3 linked regions of the Coturnix japonica genome follow. The protein of the gene in region 3 interacts with the protein of the main gene of each other region in a biochemical or structural test. Links are inferred from orthologs where the notes say so. Each region holds a gene or a part of one and is shown on either strand. Other genes may lie near its edges.

Region 1 (5,683 bases), on a different chromosome or scaffold from region 3:
TCACCAGAGCTTTTCTATTGTGTCAAATTAAAAACAGCTAAAGAGGCACACACAGCAGGAAAAAAAAAGCCCCAAAATTGCTCCTTTAAGCTAAACAGATCCATGTGTGCCTTCACATTATGTGTGCAACCAGCACTAGTCTGCACAGTTAAACACATTCTCTGCATTCTGTACAGGAATACATTCACAGTCTGTCTCAAGGGTGGAGAAAACTGTACAAGCTACAGTAAGACATCTCCAGGACAAGAGCAGAAACCCATATATATGACATGTACATGGATATAAAGCATTATCAGTAAAACTGGGAAACACTGCGTAGTGTTACATTGCTTACTAGCTTAATCAAATACCATCACGCAACTAAGCCAGTTCTACCTGGCAGCAGGTTTTGAATGTTTGTATACACACACACTGAAGTGCACACCAAGAATTAGAGCCTCACAAGAATGAAAGCAGATCATTTGAGGTCAGCCATAGTCTCCTTCATGGCACGTGTGTTCAGAGAGCTTTACAACAGCAATTCCACAGCCAGTAGAGTGCTCTAGAAAGCAGCTCCCACATCAGTGCCACAGCCAACGCTCTCACAGCAGCCACCCATACACTGAGAGTTCACTGCTGTGGTACACAGCTCCTTCCTGAGGTCAGCAGGACATTTGTGTTAATACAAAAAAGCCAGCTCTGTGTTTTGGAGGCACTCCAAAGAAATAAAATCAGAAGGGGGTGGGCCTGTCACCTGTATAAAAATCAAGGAAGATGCGTCAAGTTACACTGTAAGACACTGAGAACTCAGACTATTCTTTTTTAATACCTCCCCTACTTTGTACACTATCTTTGAAAGCACTACGGATGCTAGGAGAGATTTTACTCCAGAACTCACTTCCATAGATCCGAATTCTTCATTCCATTTTTAACACAATGGATCCTACACGTGAGAACAGAAGTTCAGTCACAGCCTCGTGTTTATCATCCTGCATTTTGTCCCAGAAACTGAAGGTCTAAGTTAATGTATTTAAATAGCTAACACAGCCGAAGCACTACAAGGCAATATATACACACAGTTAGTTTCTTTTCTCTCTCAGTGCTTTTCCCCTCAAGACACACATTCATAAGCATGCTCACTAGAGTCTAAAAACCCTCCTGGGTGCCACATGGAAGAAATCCAAGTTGCAAATCTGTGGCAGAGAGACAGTAATGCATGATGCAATGACATACACTCTTCAAAACACACAAGCAAGTTACACAATGGCTTCCTGTTCCTGATTATTTAGGTTGTATAGCACCCAGCAATTTGCACACTCATATCCCTGCATTACACAAGGGGTTCTGAGTAATGTGAGTTACCACACATCTGTTATAGGGACAGGCATATGAAGTGGACAGTTACTATGAAGCTATGGATGCCAGAAAACTCTCATAAATTATTATGTTCTAATGAAAAAAGCTGTCTCTCTATCTCTCACACAACAAACATCTATGTTTTAAATTTCCTTAAACAAAATAAATAAATAAATAAATAATCAGATAACCTTCCACTTTAAGGATAATAAATACACAGCTCTGTTTGCCTTGTAGGTACAGGGCAGCAACAAGAGTATCCACATAATAAGCCTGAGACCTTTGCAGCACAGGGTTTCTATTAAGAATAACAAGCAATTTTGGAGTTAACAAGAGGACTCTCTGTGCTAGATCTTGAGGGGATGGACTAGAGTGTTGGTGACCAGTATGGCAGCATTGCCAGTTACTACTCAGCTTGGAGAAGCTCCAGCGTAGCAGAGCTGTGCCAATCAGGGTAGCAACCTGGGAGCCAGCCAAGAGGTCGAGCAGGCCTCCAATAGCTTGAATGCAAATGGTTTTAGTTGTGGTAGATCTTTTGTAAGCAGTGGAAGGGGCATGCTGGCCTCAGAAAGAAGTTAAATCCTGTTTCCAAACTGCGAGCGTCTGTGCACCATCTGGGTCCTGCAGAGCAAGGCAGCTGCGTTCCTTTTTGCAGGAGCTTTGTCACACCTCCTCAGAAGGGAATGCAAAGAGGCTTTCGGAGGCTCCCTGAGCAGGCAAATACCAAAACACCATCACATTGTAAATCTGTTTCTCCTACATGACTTGCAGAGGGCACAGTCCCCTTTTAGGTGTTCAATGTCTTTTAGGTCTTCTAACTTTTGACACCAAGTACTGTTACAAAGTGTTCTTGTTCTTCAGACCTGAAGCTCCCCAGTAATCCCCCTCATCCACATAACTGGAAAGAATGCACTAGAGGGGCTAACAGATGCATCATTCCTTGAATTCCCATCTGCATGCAGAACCCAGCCAAATCCTTTTGTTCAACTTGCTGAGAGGAACCGGATCAAAAGTCATCAAGGTTCTTTTTGTTTTACACAACAAATTCAAAAGTGTAGAAATGAAAGAACTGCAGTTAATTTCATAACTATACCCACATTTTGTAACCTACAAACACAGACACTGTGTAGAAAAAGAGATAAAGAAGGTGATGTTACATGGTAGATGACTATCAAAGATCTCCATCTATCAGCTCCAAAGGACTTAATTTCTCAAGTAGGTTTTACTAACCATAAGATAAGCAGCTACCTTGCCTACACTGATACACAGTGAGACTTGAAAGATACAGAGAGAAAAAGAAAACTTCAATTTTTATGAAAAAGATCACCATTCAATCACCTGTAGCCTCTATAGCTGTATCTTTTACAAGGTAAGACCACTGCACAGTTCTTGACACAAAGACAAATCCATGCAAACCACACATCACTGCCTCTGAAATAAGACACAGTTAAGGTTATGCAGTTATCACAAGATGACCACAGTCCCAGGAACAGACTGTCCCTATGACACACTGCCAGCTGATCTAGGAACACTGACAACATTATCACGTAACCACCAGGCTTGCCAAGAAATTAAGTCATAGAGCAGTTTTCGCAGGTTAAAAAAAAAACTATATGATACTATATTTCCATAGAATCTAACCTATACTGAGTAGATCTGGATAGAGATTTCTTCACTGAGGGAGAAAGGAAGGAAAGCGAACAGCAGAAGACTGGATTTTGGCAGTAAAATTTAAGGAAAACAGCTGGCTAGAAAATACCAATACACGTGGGCAAGAAGTTGCCAAAGATCAAGTTATTAAGTACTGCCCAAAAAGCATTCATAACAAGCTTGCTAGGCATGGTTGTGTTTATTTTCACCCCCCAATTAGAGCGTTCCTCAAAATAGTTTTCCATTACCAACACTACTGCAATAGCAAGTTATAGATAAAGCACACAGGCTGACTTCTACCCCTTTCTTAACTCCACATTGTCTTGAAGAAGACAGATTTACAAAGAGACAAAAAGAAAGCACTCTGGTTGCTATGCAGCAGAACAATCTCACCACCATGTAGCAAAAAACCACAGTCCCACTGTCTGAGTAAGAGAAAGACCAACTACGTTGTACATCTTGGAGGCAATCACCACATTTCCATTTGCAATACAGAGGAAGTACCAAGTACCATCCTTAGCAGAACAGAATGGAAGTTCTGCATGTTGTACAACCAGTCCTCTGCTCGCCAATGCCACCTCACACAGCTCCATTTGAAAAGTGAAACTTGCACTGTATTAAAAATACTCCTAGGGCCCATACTTTTAGGAAGCCTTATAATCACAGCAAGTGACTGAATAACCTCTAAACTAAATGTTTTGGCAGAGCAGGCTATAATTCAGCTCTGGTGGGCTGTGTGCAGATGTCTCTCTTCCCACACAAGGGGCCACTTACCAAGTGCTCTGGCCACAGCCAGGAAGGGAATCTGGTCGATGACGGTGCTGCGGCGCACAGGGCCATTGTGAGTCAGGCGAGGTCTCTTCCAGACAACACGATTCACACCAGACTTGTTGATGACACTAAAAATCGTCAGAAAGGAGCAGGCGTTATAAAAAGCAATGGAAATGAAAGCTTGTTTCAATGACTTAAGATTAAATATGCAAATACAGACTCAATAACGACAGCATCTTCAGAGAGGTGCACAGCACAATGAAGCATTTCAGAACACCTGGTATCACTTGGATAGCCTCATTCCACATTAAGCTAAATGCAAAAGCAAGAGATGAAGGGCAGAAGAAAAAGCAAGAGGACGAAGACTTGGAAGAAATTAAGGCTGGCTGCAACAGCCAGATGTAAGAGTATCTTTTCAATCTATCAGCAAAAAAGCAAAAGACAAATTGCTTTCCTTAGATGAGGCCCATCAACATCAACTTGAGTGAAAATATCATGTTGTTTCTCCTTTAGTTTTCTCCATCTGCCAAAGTCTGGCAGTAAAGAGCAGCACAGTACAGTTGGGAAGAGCAGAAAAATAAGAGCAGCCTTCTGGAGGAATTTCCTTATTGGTGCACCAACATGAGGGAGAAATAAAAAGAGGAATTGTTCATAGCTGCTATCTGCTGAAAGCACGACATAGGAAGAAACAGCCCTGCCTTTAAGCATTAACACCTGCTCCTGCTCTGTGCACCAAACAATCGTTTTGGCTCTCACAAATGGCATTAAAAGGGTCAAAAGAGAAGCTACTATGCAAGAGAACACACTATAACGAGGCAGGAAGAAGTAGGAAAGAGAGAAGGGAGAGCATGAGGTACCAAGCAAGGTAATGAAAGAATGAACAAGCAAAGCTTGGTCCCAATCAAACTAAGAACTAGATGCTTAAAAGCTAGCTTTCATCCAAGGAACAGCCATCGGTAATTAGAAACTGAGGCGCTCTGGAACCAGCCTCAAGATTCCTCATACTGAAGCTATTCAAGATGCACTTCCTGAGACTTCAAAGGCCTTAACAACAAAGGCACGTTTAGCTCCATCCTTCTGCATGAAAGTGCAGCAAGCACCACAGCCTAAAATTCATCTCATCCATTTGTACAACTATTAGTTACACAATGTTAACTCCAGCCTTCATCTGGAAGATTTCAGCCCGTATTCCAGGACTGTTACTTTGAAAATACTGTTTTTAATATACAATTCAATCATGCCCTCACATTAACTTATCCCAGTTTTCTCTAACAAAAGAGAAGACAGTAATAAACACAGAGGCAGTCCCACCACACTCCCACTGTTGGCTACACAACAGCCTGCACTGGTTTTACCAGCCAGTCCAGAAGAACAAAACAGAAGAAGCAGGAGCAGAAAAAGTTGCTAAAACAGTTTAACTGCTCCTGCTGATAGACAGTCTCAGAACGCTTCTCCAAAGCCTCAGTTTCAAACACTGACATGAACAACCTGGAAACCCATACATTTACAAACTCTAACTTAGCAAAGCTGCAAGTTGCCCTTTCTGAGAAGTTCCCACCCCAAATACAGATATCTGATCAGCTTCCACCTGCTAGCGATACAGATATCTGAAGGTTAACGAGCTGACAGGGTTCTTGTGTGAATGATGTCAACAGGAAAACCTCCAGTGCTTTCTCCCTCTGAACTGCTAAGAGAAGGAAACTCTGCCCATCCATCTGGTGCAGTACTGTGGAACGAAAGAACAGCGAGCTCCTGTGAAGCCATGCCAAATCCGAGCCCTGAGGTTTGTCTCAAAACATTAGTGCCATCTGACAAGGCTGCCTGCCTTCTTCCCCATTTACAGGGAACATCCATCAACCACAACTCAGATGTTCTAACATCTGCTGGCTCCTGACAATGAAGAAAGTACTAATATTGAGATACGTGT
Region 2 (5,683 bases), on a different chromosome or scaffold from region 3:
CCAACAAGATGAAAGGCCGCACTAAGCATGAGAATGGAAGTCAAATGAATAACTGCTGCATTCTGACAGCATGTCACGGATCTACATAATTTCTAGCTGAGCCATTGTGCATTTCTGCTGTTTCTACCCAACACCCTTCCCCCCCTCGCAATCAATAAAATAAAAATAAAATAAAAATAAAATAAAAATAAAAATAAAATAAAGCACTTCTGAAATAAGCACCTGGCCATGCTCAGGGTTCCTTGATACACAGCATGTAGGCTACATTTAAAAAGTGATAAGAGCACAGAACAAAGGCCTGGGATTAAATGAAGCTCAGTGTGACAGACCGCCAAACAAAAAGCTTCCCACTTCAGCTGATGTGAGTTCAAATCACTGTTATGTTCCTTCACTTTTAATACACGCTAAGCATTATCTCAAAATTAATGTTTATAAACAAGATCTGCATGATGTTAAAAAGCAAATACATTTACAAATAGCTCCAGATGCTGACACTGTAACGCACACTGCTTCAAACTTCCATTAGTTTAAAATGCAAATACAAAGAAAAGCACTACTCTTAAAAACAGGTGAAAGCTTACCTGTGCGTGAAACAAAGCTAGTCCCTTTGCAGTATGCATGGGAATCAGAACTTTCATAAGGAACTGTTTGTGTTCCGCTTTCAGTGGCAGTGCAAAACCATTGATAATACTGAAAACGTGAATAAGCAGGATTTACTTTTATGAAGAACTCAAAACAAAAACAAGATTTTCTTAGCAAGAAGTAAAGAATTCCTGTACATTCAGAAATGCCATTTCTGATTCTATTTCTAACCCCGGTAATTATGAAGCCATAAAATAACTTCACATATGCACAGCCTCTAAAGGTTTGGTATCGTGGCAGCCAGCTGAGAGAAGCAGAGTGGCAGCCCACTGACACTCAGGAGAGGACTTTCACCATCACCTCCTTCAGGTAAAATTATCTAAAGTAGGTTGCTGCCTAAGGATAAAGCTCATACACATCAGGAAGCTGATCCCTTTCATGCCGAATCACTTAAACACAACTTGCAGAGGAACAAAATAGATGGCATATAATTTAATTATTACAACAGCGCAGTTTGAAAATACGTTTTAAGTTTTCCCCCTAGAAAAAAAGCTTCCAAGTGGTCGTTGATTCAATAACCTTGTTGTGAGAGTCAGCCACAGAACGACAGCCCTTCGGGAAGGCCTTAGGTTTTGTTCCCCAGATTTTAGATAAACCTGAGCAAATGGAATCCCGTTTGCTTGGTTTCCATGATGACCGATCCCTTTCACAATCTGTTAAGCCACTTGTGGTTATAGTTTTCTACCATAAAACACACCTGTGTCAGCTTTGGAAAATTACTAAAAAGACACCATAAACAGCTTCCAAAGTAAGAATTAAATAACTGAATTAGTGACAAAAATAGTAACTGAGATACTTTCAAGGCTTTCATGAACACACTCTGAACAAAGTCAGCCTGCTGAAGTAAAGCATTGTGTTCAACTTGAGAGCTGAAGTTAACATTCATTTTCCAAAGCAAAGAAAAACTCTGATATATTCCTCAACAAGGGAGGACTCCTGAGAAATATTTTGCCTGCCATCTCTAAAACACACACTGAAAAAGAAGGATTTAGACTCGATATCCTAATTAGATGTTCACATGGTAACCCAGACAGGATTCAATTACATCAGTGGCTGCACTTCATCACTCATTACTGTAACAGTCTTCCCATTCCCAAAGCAAGGAAACCAAAGCGAGCATTGCCCACAGTATTTTGTATCTTTTCTGTCAGTTCAAACTTACCTTCCTAATATCTCAAGAAGTTCAGCAACACCATTGAAGTGCTCTGTTTCATATATAAACCTATCACAAAGAAAGACAAAAATGGAAGCAGATTCCAAGTAAATAATCTCTAACAAATTTTAGATATTTGAAAGGCAATCACAGATCCAACCCAGCTCTTTCAGTGCAGTCACAGACTACAAAGGGAAAAGTAGAATATTACTCGACCTGCACAGACATACAGACAGAGCATACCTGAGGAAAATGTTATTGATCTGTTTCCTGATGAATGCTCTTAAGCCAAGGAATTTGCCATAAATTCGATGAAGAACCGTCTTCAGGAAATCACGTTCTCGTGGGTCTTCACTGTCAAAGAGCTCCAATAACTTCAAAAATTAAATTGAAATGTATTACATTAGGAAGACTTACATTTTGTCATGCTCCTAATCGAGCTCAGCTTCATCTTTAACTTACAAAGTCTGCATTAGAAAAAACAGAACTGGTCTGACTTAATATTTTATTTAGATATCCAATGTTATTTTCAAAATCAGATTTTGAATAAAGCTGAGTTTTTAAGTGCACCCAGCAGTTTCACTTCTTTCATATTGAAAAGTCTGCATAGAGCAGACATCAACAAAGCCATTCCAACCATTACCCTGTCAAAATAATGATGAAATTTTAAGAAGGATATTATCAAATTTGGGGTAAGTGGTTTGTACTCAGCCTTCAAGAAATTAGAATGAAGCAAATTTGTGTCATACATTTATGATTTCTTAATTGAAATCTTGTTCTACCCATTTCGATATGCTACTCATGCCTTCAAGGTTAAACACAAGCATAATTCTCTGCAGAATCGTTTTGCGAGACAAGTCTATGATAAGAATCATGCACATTTCCTTGGGGGACAGAGAGGGAGACAGATGTTTAACAGAATGCAAATGCACTAAGAACGAGCTGGGGAGGGGAGGGAAATCACCAAGTACAAGTTTCTTCATTTCTGTCTGGCTCTAATGGCAGCATTTCCCCCAACCTGTTTGGTTTTGTTAAATACATTTTCCTCCCCACAGGAACTTAGCTCCAGCAATCACTACAGCCTCCTGCTTAGTCCAGATCTGCAAGCTCTCCAACACCTACACCAAGCACAGCAGGGACTGGGAAGTGCTGTTTAAGAATTGTGCTCATTTCATTTCCATATTCAGAAGGAATTTCTCAGGGTCACCACTGCACTTTCTCCCCACAGACAGCTTGGTGTATTTTGCACCATCTTTACATGAAACATCAGGAGCTAAAATACTGCAACACAGCTCTGAAGAACTGTACGCCAGTCGGTGACTTGGACACGCACATACCAATGCTCAGCAGCAGATTCAGGTTAGAATTTTGTATGAAAGTTGAACAAAACAGAGAAGAAGGGAACACCTACAAACAAGAACAGCAAACCCAAAGAAGCAAGCATATAAGCAGTCACTGAAGGCAGCAAGTGGAAGCATTCATCTACGTTTTCACTTCTCACTGCTGTACTGTGACAGCCTCTTCACACTCAAGCTTTAAAAAATGAGCATTTGGGCACAGTAAAAATCCCCAGTGAGGTAACCTTGGACAAGAAATGTTAGAGTATCACCCAGCCCAATGTGAGGTGTGACATCCTACTTCATTTTTCTTCATAGTTACTTCGTGCGGTGAATCAACTTTACACTATTTTCTCATGAGCTTTCTCATTTAATTTTCCTTCTGCATATAATACACCACAAGATGAGAATGACACCATCCAGTAATAACTCAGCACATGTTGGAACACATTTCACGTACATTCAGCTACTTATTCATCGGAAAAACAATTTTGCTGTAAGATTTCCCATCGTAAATCTCCACGAAGAAAACAAACATGAAAGCACTACACCAGTGCCATTGGCACGCTGCTGATTTGACTGGAGGTAAGTTACTAATCATTAAAACACAGCTTACATTAACAAAAAATAAAAATCTTGCATTGCAAAGCAAAGATGCTAATACCTGAAAACAAAGCGTTTCTGCAGTTGCTAATTACTAATTATTGTCTGCGCAGCAGACATTGTTTGGCAGAAATCACTGTTGAAACAACTGGAATTGAACCCTCTGTCAGAGTGAAAGCTTTTTAGTATCGCCTCATCTGAACAACCAGCAGTTATGCCTGAGAGGCAATCTTTAACTCTGAGGTAGGAAACCTGGCTACTTACCTGCTGTACAAATTTCTGGTCAATGAATCTCTTTGCAATGCTGGGCTGAAAATCCGGGCTTTCCAAAAATCTTAGGAAAAATTCATACACCAACTGCAAAGAGCAAAGTGAGAATTTTGAACAAGTCAGTAAGTGCACCGTGGTGTGGATCTTATCCCCTACTCGAGTCACTGGGGCTGTTCACGTACTTAACATCTACGCATGAAAACCGTCATGGCCTCTAGTGCAATTTACTGTAAGCACCAAATGCATTTTAATTCCCAGAAGATTCTAAGCTTAATAAATCAATAACCGAAAATACCACTCCACAGCAAAGTAGAAGTATTACACAAATTCACATTTCCTACTGCATTAAGAGTGCATTACGTAGAAATAAGTTACCAAACACTTCTAAACAGAGGGTAAAATTAAGTGTTCTAACAGCATCTAACTCCCTAAAATCAGATTCAGAAAAGTTTGCTCGGTGCTCCTGAAGACAGGCTTCAGATTTAAGCAACTAAAATGGTCACACTGATAAAGCTGAAGAAATACATACAAACTGTAGTGCTTAGCACGGCATTACATATTCTGTATTCTATACTCCAGGCACTCCATTCAAACAGTAAGACCTCCTGCAGATTTACCTTCAATATCCTGTATATTCTGCAGTATATTCTTTCTATTGACTTCAAGTCCCCAGTTCACTATGATCCCATACAGACCACAGACAGAGAGGAGATGGAGGCAGCAAAGGCCTGAAGCAGCAGAGCGAGGCACAAAAATGGCAGAGCACAAGTCCCACACTATTGGATTCAACACAAGTCCAAGACAAACTTGTGTATCCATAACAGTGGCAGGTGGGAGAGAACACATGCAACCTTCCAACTTATAAAACATAGTTCAGGCATCTCATAAGGAAAGATATCTTCAGATTAGCTGCATTCAGGGCCTCATGTTTTCAATGCCTATTTCTCAACTCAGGAATAGTTAAATTGTAAGCAATAATAGTAAAGCACACTTTAAATAAATACAAACATACTGCCTGGACTGCAGAGGTAACAGATAGAGGCACGTATTTCAACAATTTTCACTTAGAAGAGGTACTAAACCACAGCTAATCCATCTCTTTCAAGCTAGAAATTCGATAAATGTGTCAGTGGTTTGTACTGAAATGGGACACATGACCGGAAGGAGGTTAACAGGGTACCATGGGAATTCATGCTGGAATTAAATTTCATTGTGTATTGAATTTGTACAGTTCATCTTTCTATCAACGAACACAACAAGAATAGTTAACTGAAAGCTGCTGGAATGGAGCCACAATATTGGAAGCTATTGCTTGATTTAAAAAAAATAAAATAAAAAAGAACGAACATCAGGTTATCAGTAAGAAAAGGACAAGGTAGATACAGGATGAAACTAAATGACTACAAAGTCAGTCAAAGAGATAAGAAAAAGCTCTACTAAGGAACAGCAAGCTTTGAAGGTGAGAGAAGGATCGGATACTAGTTCTGATTATTAGAATGACAAAGTTTCGCAGCTACACAGCAAAGCCACAGCAATGACAAATGAAATGCTGGGATTTTCCAATAAGATAATGACAAAACACAGAGAGATGTGAAGTACCATACATGCTAGAGAAAACATTCAGACCTGAAAGGATACAGAGGAGCCACAAGAATGGCCATGGGCCAGAGTACCAATT
Region 3 (6,457 bases):
TACAGCTCAACAGTCACCCTTTTTCCAGTCATCAGTCTCTACAACCCTAATATTTTCCTGATATCCAAGAGCCCATTAATCTGTGCAAGCTTTCTACTTAACAGAAGGAGAATAAAAGCCTTTGGGTGAAGGGGAGCTGGAGGGATAAGGATCCAACTCAAAAACCTGCTGGTGGAGTCTAATGTTGGTTATCTGGCAGTCTGTACAAAGCTGCATCAAGGAGAGATTTCTCCCACAATGATGGTTGAGGTTGGAACCTCCTCTGCAAAGCACCTTCCCAAATTTACATCTGAGTTATTCAAGACTTCAAAACCTCCTATCAGCAAAGATACAATAATCTGAAACGTGCTCAATAGACTTATTTAGGCTGCAATAATTATACGCATCATTCTCTACACAGGTAAAATCGATCATTATTATGCTAAGTCAGCAAAGCAGTACACAGCAAAATGAATACAAATGTACAGGGCCACTCACATGATCTATTTTCTTCAAAATCTCTATTTCTGTGTTGATGTTAAAAGCTGGGCTCTGTGAAAAGAATGAAATACCACATGGAGTCACACAGCAATATTTTAGGATAAGACACTTCAGAAATTAAGATCCAACTTAAACAATTCATCTTGACCAGCAGATATCAGCACTGCCCTTCAAACTGCCTCTCTTCAAGATGTTTCCCACATGAGCTACCCCTGAAGTTAAATGCTACTCACTATTACTCTTCATTGTGCTAGAGAAAATAAACAGATTGATCTGAAAATATCTGCATTTTCCTCCTCTGAACCTGTACAACTGGAAATTAGAGAAGCATTCACTGAGCTTGCATATAATCCTGCAGAATTAACAAGGTTAGTCTAACCTGTTTTACCTTCAGTGAACCCATAGCTGCAGAATCTGTATCTCCTTTCTCATTCACCTTCAACCTCTATTTGTATTTTTTCTTCACAGTTCATCCTGTATCTTTACATAAAATGGCACTGATCGATCAGAAGTTGTTTGAATATCTGTTAGGTTCCAGCCATGGCTCCTCTTTCTCCAGCAGCTATGAAAGCAGGCACATGGAAAGCCCTCCCCAGCAGGCTTTGTACCATACCAAGTCTTATGATGAACATACAACACAATTAGCTGAGCTTATAGGCCTCTGGTCAGACCACCCTGTAATGTAACTTTCTGATGTTTTTTAGGAGATGACACCCCATGAGATTTCCACACTCCCCCTTATTTGTATATAAGGCATCAGTCCTAACAGAGTTTGGTCAAAGAATAAAAGCAAGCATTTGCTACACAGTTATATACACTCTGTAATATCAAATGCCATTGAGAAATCACACACAGAAAACTTTAAGTCAGAAAACCCCCTTTAATCGGAGAGGACTGGAGAGTAAGAGATAAAGGCTGCCCGTATCTGAGAACAGCTGCAAGATGGTCAAAAGACAGAAGCAAAGGTACTTACTGCCTCTCTAACACCACTGGCCATAAACTTCCGCTTGTTGATGATCTTTACTGCAACTTTATTACAAGTGCTCTTCTCAAATGCCAGTTTGACTTCTCCACAGGCACCGCTAGCATGAAAGCACAGCTGTGTTAATGCTTACAGATACCTTCCCAACTCGGCCTAAGAAGCGTGCTGACGTGAACAGGAGGCTCTCACCTCATTAAGACTACGTGCAATCAGAGGCTGCAGCTTTCCAGCTCTCTCAATATAACAGATGGACAAAACTATCTCAGACAATATTCAATAGTATTTAAGCACCAAATGGTGTCAGACCCCAATTTCAACCAATTACAAACGTACTTAAACATTCTTGCATGTAAAGTAAATAGAAACATAGTCGTAAGATAGTTTCAAATCTTGAGCAATTAATTCAGAAATCACCACCAATTGCTTTGAAGTATCTCTGATAACCCTCCTATGATTCTGGATATTCCAAGTAATAGATAATGAGACCACGTCTCATTTGTGTTTCATCTTCATTAAAGCCCAGCACAGTGTGCTCAGGTAGCACAAGGTACCGAAAGCAGTAACAAAATGAAAGGTGCTGCTTCTGATAGAAGGATTCTTACCTTCCCAACGTCTTGGACATGATGTACTTCTCTCGGAGCTCTCTAGGAAACACCAGCTGGTCATCCACCGTGAGGTCAGAAAAGACAAACACTGGGAGATGGGTGGAGAGCATCGTCCTGTTACTTCAAAATGGTTATATAACACTTCCCAAGCTGTTAACAGTCAACAACACAACTGAGCAAATGCTGCCTGCTGGAAACAGCACGGAAATAGGAAAGCAAGAAGAAGAAACCAAAACCCCATCAGCTGATGCTGCAATGATGCTTTAGGCAGGAAATCTCATTACTGAGAAGTGAGACCTTGGGTCTGCGCCAAACACAGCGATAAACTTAGGGCTGTTCTTATTACTGCAGCCACATGGTATTCACCAAACAAGATCCAGATCACAGCACACAGAACCTCCTGGTTGACACCCAAAGAGCCCACATGCATCGCGGTGTATTTTACCCTTGTTAGTCTGAATACATAGTGCGATTTCCGAGTTATGAGTCAGCGGCAGCCTCTTCCCCTTCCCAATGAGCTCTCTGTTAATGAACGTTCCATTTGCGCTGTGGTCTTCAATGTAGGCAACGTGGGAGTTTTTTGGTCCTGTTTCCTAACAGGGAAGAAAAAGAAATCAGAAAGAGAGCAATGGCGAAGAAAAGGACGACAGCAGTGTTGGCTCAATGGAGTACTTCATAAACATGGAGAGGGAACATCACTCAGCGCCTGGTTAAAGAAGTCGGGCTGGACATGGCAAACCTTGTGTTCAATAAGATCCCAGCAAAGGTTCACCATTCTCAATTATGGCCATACACAGAAAAAGAAATAACCTTTTTAGCACCTACCCTGAATATTCGGAAGTGCTTCTTGCTGTAGTTCTGGTAAAACCCAGTTTCAGATAATCCGAGCTTAGAAAAACTGTAATCACAGCTTTTGTCTCTTCCGAACCAGTACTCGTCATTGACACAGTCTGCAGAGCATGGGAGAGAGAACACAGCATTGAGGCAGTTATTAACTACTGCCCTGCAGAACGATGCCTTACATTATAGTAAAGCATGATAACAAAGACATCAGCATTTACTTCTCCTGATTCCAATGAAACGCCATATGCTACCAATACGTCATTGAGGAAGGTGGGCAGCCCGAGCTGGGTGCAGCAGCACATGGCAGGGGTGGGGGATCCCTGAGCTCCCCTCCAACCTCAGCCATTCCATGACCCTGTAATTTCACTACATACATCAGCAATTCCATTGAATAACAGCGTCATTTCCCATTCACCTTCAGCGATATATTCACACAATGCAGAAACAAACCGAACCAAACCAAGCTACGGGGCGGACAGACACAGACAGGCAGTGGAGAAGACACGGACTCCGAGCAGAAACAGCCGGGAGCTCAGCGGGACGGCACGGAACGGAACGGCACAGAATGGAACGGGACAGAATGGAATGGCACAGAATGGAATGGGACCAGGAATGGAATGGGCACGAATGGAACAGCAAGGAATAGAACGGCACGGAATAGAACGGCACGGAATAGAACGGCACAGAATGGAACGGCACAGAATGGAACGGCACAGAATGGAACGGCACAGAATGATCCCGCGAATGAACGCACAGAATGGAAACGGCACAGAATGGAACGGCACAAAGAATGGAACGGCCAGATGGACGGCACAGAATGGATGGGACAGAATGGAACGGCACGGAATGGAACGGCAACAGAATAGAACGGCACGGTGCATCCCCGGCCCGACACAGCCAGGAGGCGCACGGACAGGCGGCGGGGCCGGCGGTGACGTACCCCAATTGCTGAAACCTTTTCCGAGCGCGAAGAGCCGACCCCAGGGCTGGGGAACGAGCTCGTCGGGTTCCGGGTCCTCGGGGATGGAGGGCAGCTCCTGCGTGGGCACCGTGTCCAGAGAGCTGAGCGTGCCGGAGCTGGACGAGGACTGGCTGGCGCCCTGCGAGGCGCTGGAGGAGGAGCTGGTTCCGCCCTGCGATGGCTGCGTGCCCTGTGAGTGCTGCACATCGCTCCTTGTCTCTCTGGACATGGCGGGAGCACCCACCGCCCGCACTGACTCCGCTCCGGCTCCACGCTCACAGCTCGCCCCGCCCGTCGCACCGCACAGCGCAGGCGCCGCGCTCATACAGCGGCCAATGGCGGCGCGGTGCCGGGAGGAGCCGTAGTGCGGGCGATGCAGGCGGCGCTGCGGGTGCAGCTGGGCCGGGCGCGGCGGGCGCTGCGTGTGTCCGAGTTGGCCCCGCGGCCGCGGTGCGTCGGACCCGGCTCCGTCCCGTCCCCGCGGTGCTGGAGCTGCGGCGTCGCGCTGTCCGGCCTCGATGCGGTCCCGCACTTCTGTCCCCGCTGCCGGGCCCTGCAGCCGCCGGAGCCTCGTCCCGACCTGTTCCGCCTGATGGAGTGGTGAGTGCCGGCGGGGCGGACTCGAGCGGAGCGGGCCGAGCTGCTCACGCCGCCTCGTGTCGCCCGCAGTGATCGCTCCTTCCGCATCGACACGCAGCGGCTGCAGCGGCGGTTCCGGAGCCTCCAGCGAGCGCTGCACCCAGACCGCTTCGGACAGAGCCCGGCGGTGAGTGACCGACCGCGAGTGACCGACCGCTGCCCTATGGGAGACGCGCTGTGTCGGCTCCGAGCTCCGGGACCGCTGAGCTCCGGGGAGTCGTACGGGACCCCCGAGGGCATCTGCTCCCACTGCCTGCAGTGCTCAGGGACACCCACAGCTCCATCAGCGCTCACAGCCCCGTCCCCTGACCATGGGTGTGTGCAGGGTCACCGCTCTGTGCGCTGCTTATTGACTCATTACTCTTTGGCAGAAGGAGCAGCACTACTCGGAGCAGCACTCTTCCCTCATCAACAAGGCCTACCAGACATTGCTGCACCCCCTGAGCCGCGGCCTCTACCTGGTGAGTGCTGGGATGGGCAGATCCACACACCCATCTTAGGGCCCCGCAGCCGCTCAGTGCTCACACTCAGAGAGCCCATATTCACGTTTCCAAATAGCTGTTTTGTTTTCCTCCAGCTGGAGCTGCGCGGTGTGGAGCCGGCGCAGGAGACGGACTGCGATGAGGATAAGGAGTTTCTCATGGAAATCATGGAAATCAATGAGAAATTAGCAGAGCCTCAGAACGACGAGATCCTCGGGGAGATAGAAACGTTAATTAAAGGTGGGCCTCGGTCTGCGGGTTTTGTACCGAGTGAATTTTACATCCCTGTATTGTCTACTGAAACGTGTGGGGTTTATATTGAGGAAGAACCCTGGGTGCAGTGCTGGAGATCAAAGCAAGTTGAGCTGCTGGGAAGTGAGCAGCCACTGGTGTGTGTGTGTGTGTGTGTGTATATATATAGGTACTGCTGGCTGTAGAGCTGTGTCAATAAAGAAACACTGCTGGAAGGATAAGGAAAAAGGCTGGCAGTGCTAACACAAGGAGCTCTTATCTTCCAAAAGACCACACCACAGACTGAGCACGGCTGTATTAGATACAAATATGAAGCAAAAGCTGAATAAGATAATTTGTTTTACAGACAGACAAGAAGAACTGACCAAAGAGGTGACTGCAGCTTTTGAAAGAGGTAATTGTTTTATTAAATAGCTGCTGGCAAGGAAACCTTCAGATTCACCTTGAAAATGACAGTTGTGCCCTCCTCTTAAATAATCCTCTTTGTTTTAATTTCTTTGTAGATGACCTTCAGGAAGCTAAGAAGCTTCTTGCCAAAATGAAGTACTTTGCAAACCTGGAGGACAAACTAAAGAACAAGAAGATCCCTTCCTGATAGCATCTCATTTACTATTAAGAATTAATGTAACTTTTATTAAACTGTTGACTTGCACCAAACACAGACAAGTGGTGTTTGCCTCTTACACCTCTGGTACAAGCTTTAACTCTCAGAGAAGGAAAACAAAGCAGCCAGGAAAAGCTGCATCACGTGCCTGAGGTTACCATCCTCATGGAGTTCTGGGTGTGGAAACTATCAGAGAGGTGCTCACAGTGTGCAGTTATGAGTTTTTACCACTAACGTCCATAGAGTTTCCTTTCTGTTGAGGAAAAGCACTGGGCACAACATTGGAGATCAAAGGGAAAGCTCAGCCAGCTCTGCTGAGCATCCTACCCAGCTGCCTTGGAAACATCTTTAAAAGTGAAATGATTTTGATTTTGTTTTCTTACTATTATCATCATCATCAGTCCTTGCTGCTCCTTTGTGCTTTTGGACATGTTGATTTCAATGGGCCAGGAAACATCCTTCAGAAATTTCCTTCAGAAATGAGCAGAAGATTTAAAGCCCTGTTGGACAGTTTGAAGTATTAAGACACGAAGCACAAAACACGCAACTCAAACACCAATAACTGCTTTATTACTACTATTCTAGGAAACAAAGCTTTCTAATAAACCT

Evidence for each region.
Region 1: of the proteins of CHEK2 (region 3) and PPM1D, one has a biochemical effect on the other in vitro, tested with the Homo sapiens proteins (2 studies listed by BioGRID, with this or other methods). The link is inferred for Coturnix japonica from reciprocal best matches to the Homo sapiens genes CHEK2 and PPM1D.
Region 2: the proteins of CHEK2 (region 3) and PPP2R5A form a complex in vitro, tested with the Homo sapiens proteins (2 studies listed by BioGRID and IntAct, with this or other methods). The link is inferred for Coturnix japonica from reciprocal best matches to the Homo sapiens genes CHEK2 and PPP2R5A.

What each region holds. Positions count from the first base shown.
Region 1 is NC_029534.1:6,711,754-6,717,436, forward strand, and holds part of PPM1D (protein phosphatase 1D), read right to left. Parts: intron 3,885-5,683; coding exon 3,760-3,884; intron 1-3,759. UniProt on the Homo sapiens protein: Involved in the negative regulation of p53 expression. Required for the relief of p53-dependent checkpoint mediated cell cycle arrest.
Region 2 is NC_029518.1:19,370,180-19,375,862, forward strand, and holds part of PPP2R5A (serine/threonine-protein phosphatase 2A 56 kDa regulatory subunit alpha isoform), read right to left. Parts: intron 4,093-5,683; coding exon 4,000-4,092; intron 2,170-3,999; coding exon 2,039-2,169; intron 1,865-2,038; coding exon 1,805-1,864; intron 691-1,804; coding exon 582-690; intron 1-581. UniProt on the Homo sapiens protein: The B regulatory subunit might modulate substrate selectivity and catalytic activity, and might also direct the localization of the catalytic enzyme to a particular subcellular compartment.
Region 3 is NC_029530.1:6,771,131-6,777,587, forward strand, and holds the start of CHEK2 (serine/threonine-protein kinase Chk2), read right to left. Parts: upstream 4,207-6,457; 5' UTR 4,197-4,206; coding exon 3,851-4,196; intron 3,018-3,850; coding exon 2,893-3,017; intron 2,661-2,892; coding exon 2,513-2,660; intron 2,156-2,512; coding exon 2,065-2,155; intron 1,563-2,064; coding exon 1,454-1,562; intron 532-1,453; coding exon 478-531; intron 1-477. Other genes in the region: iron-sulfur cluster co-chaperone protein HscB, read left to right, coding at 4,245-4,471, 4,541-4,637, 4,882-4,971, 5,088-5,232, 5,591-5,638, 5,748-5,839. UniProt on the Homo sapiens protein: Serine/threonine-protein kinase which is required for checkpoint-mediated cell cycle arrest, activation of DNA repair and apoptosis in response to the presence of DNA double-strand breaks.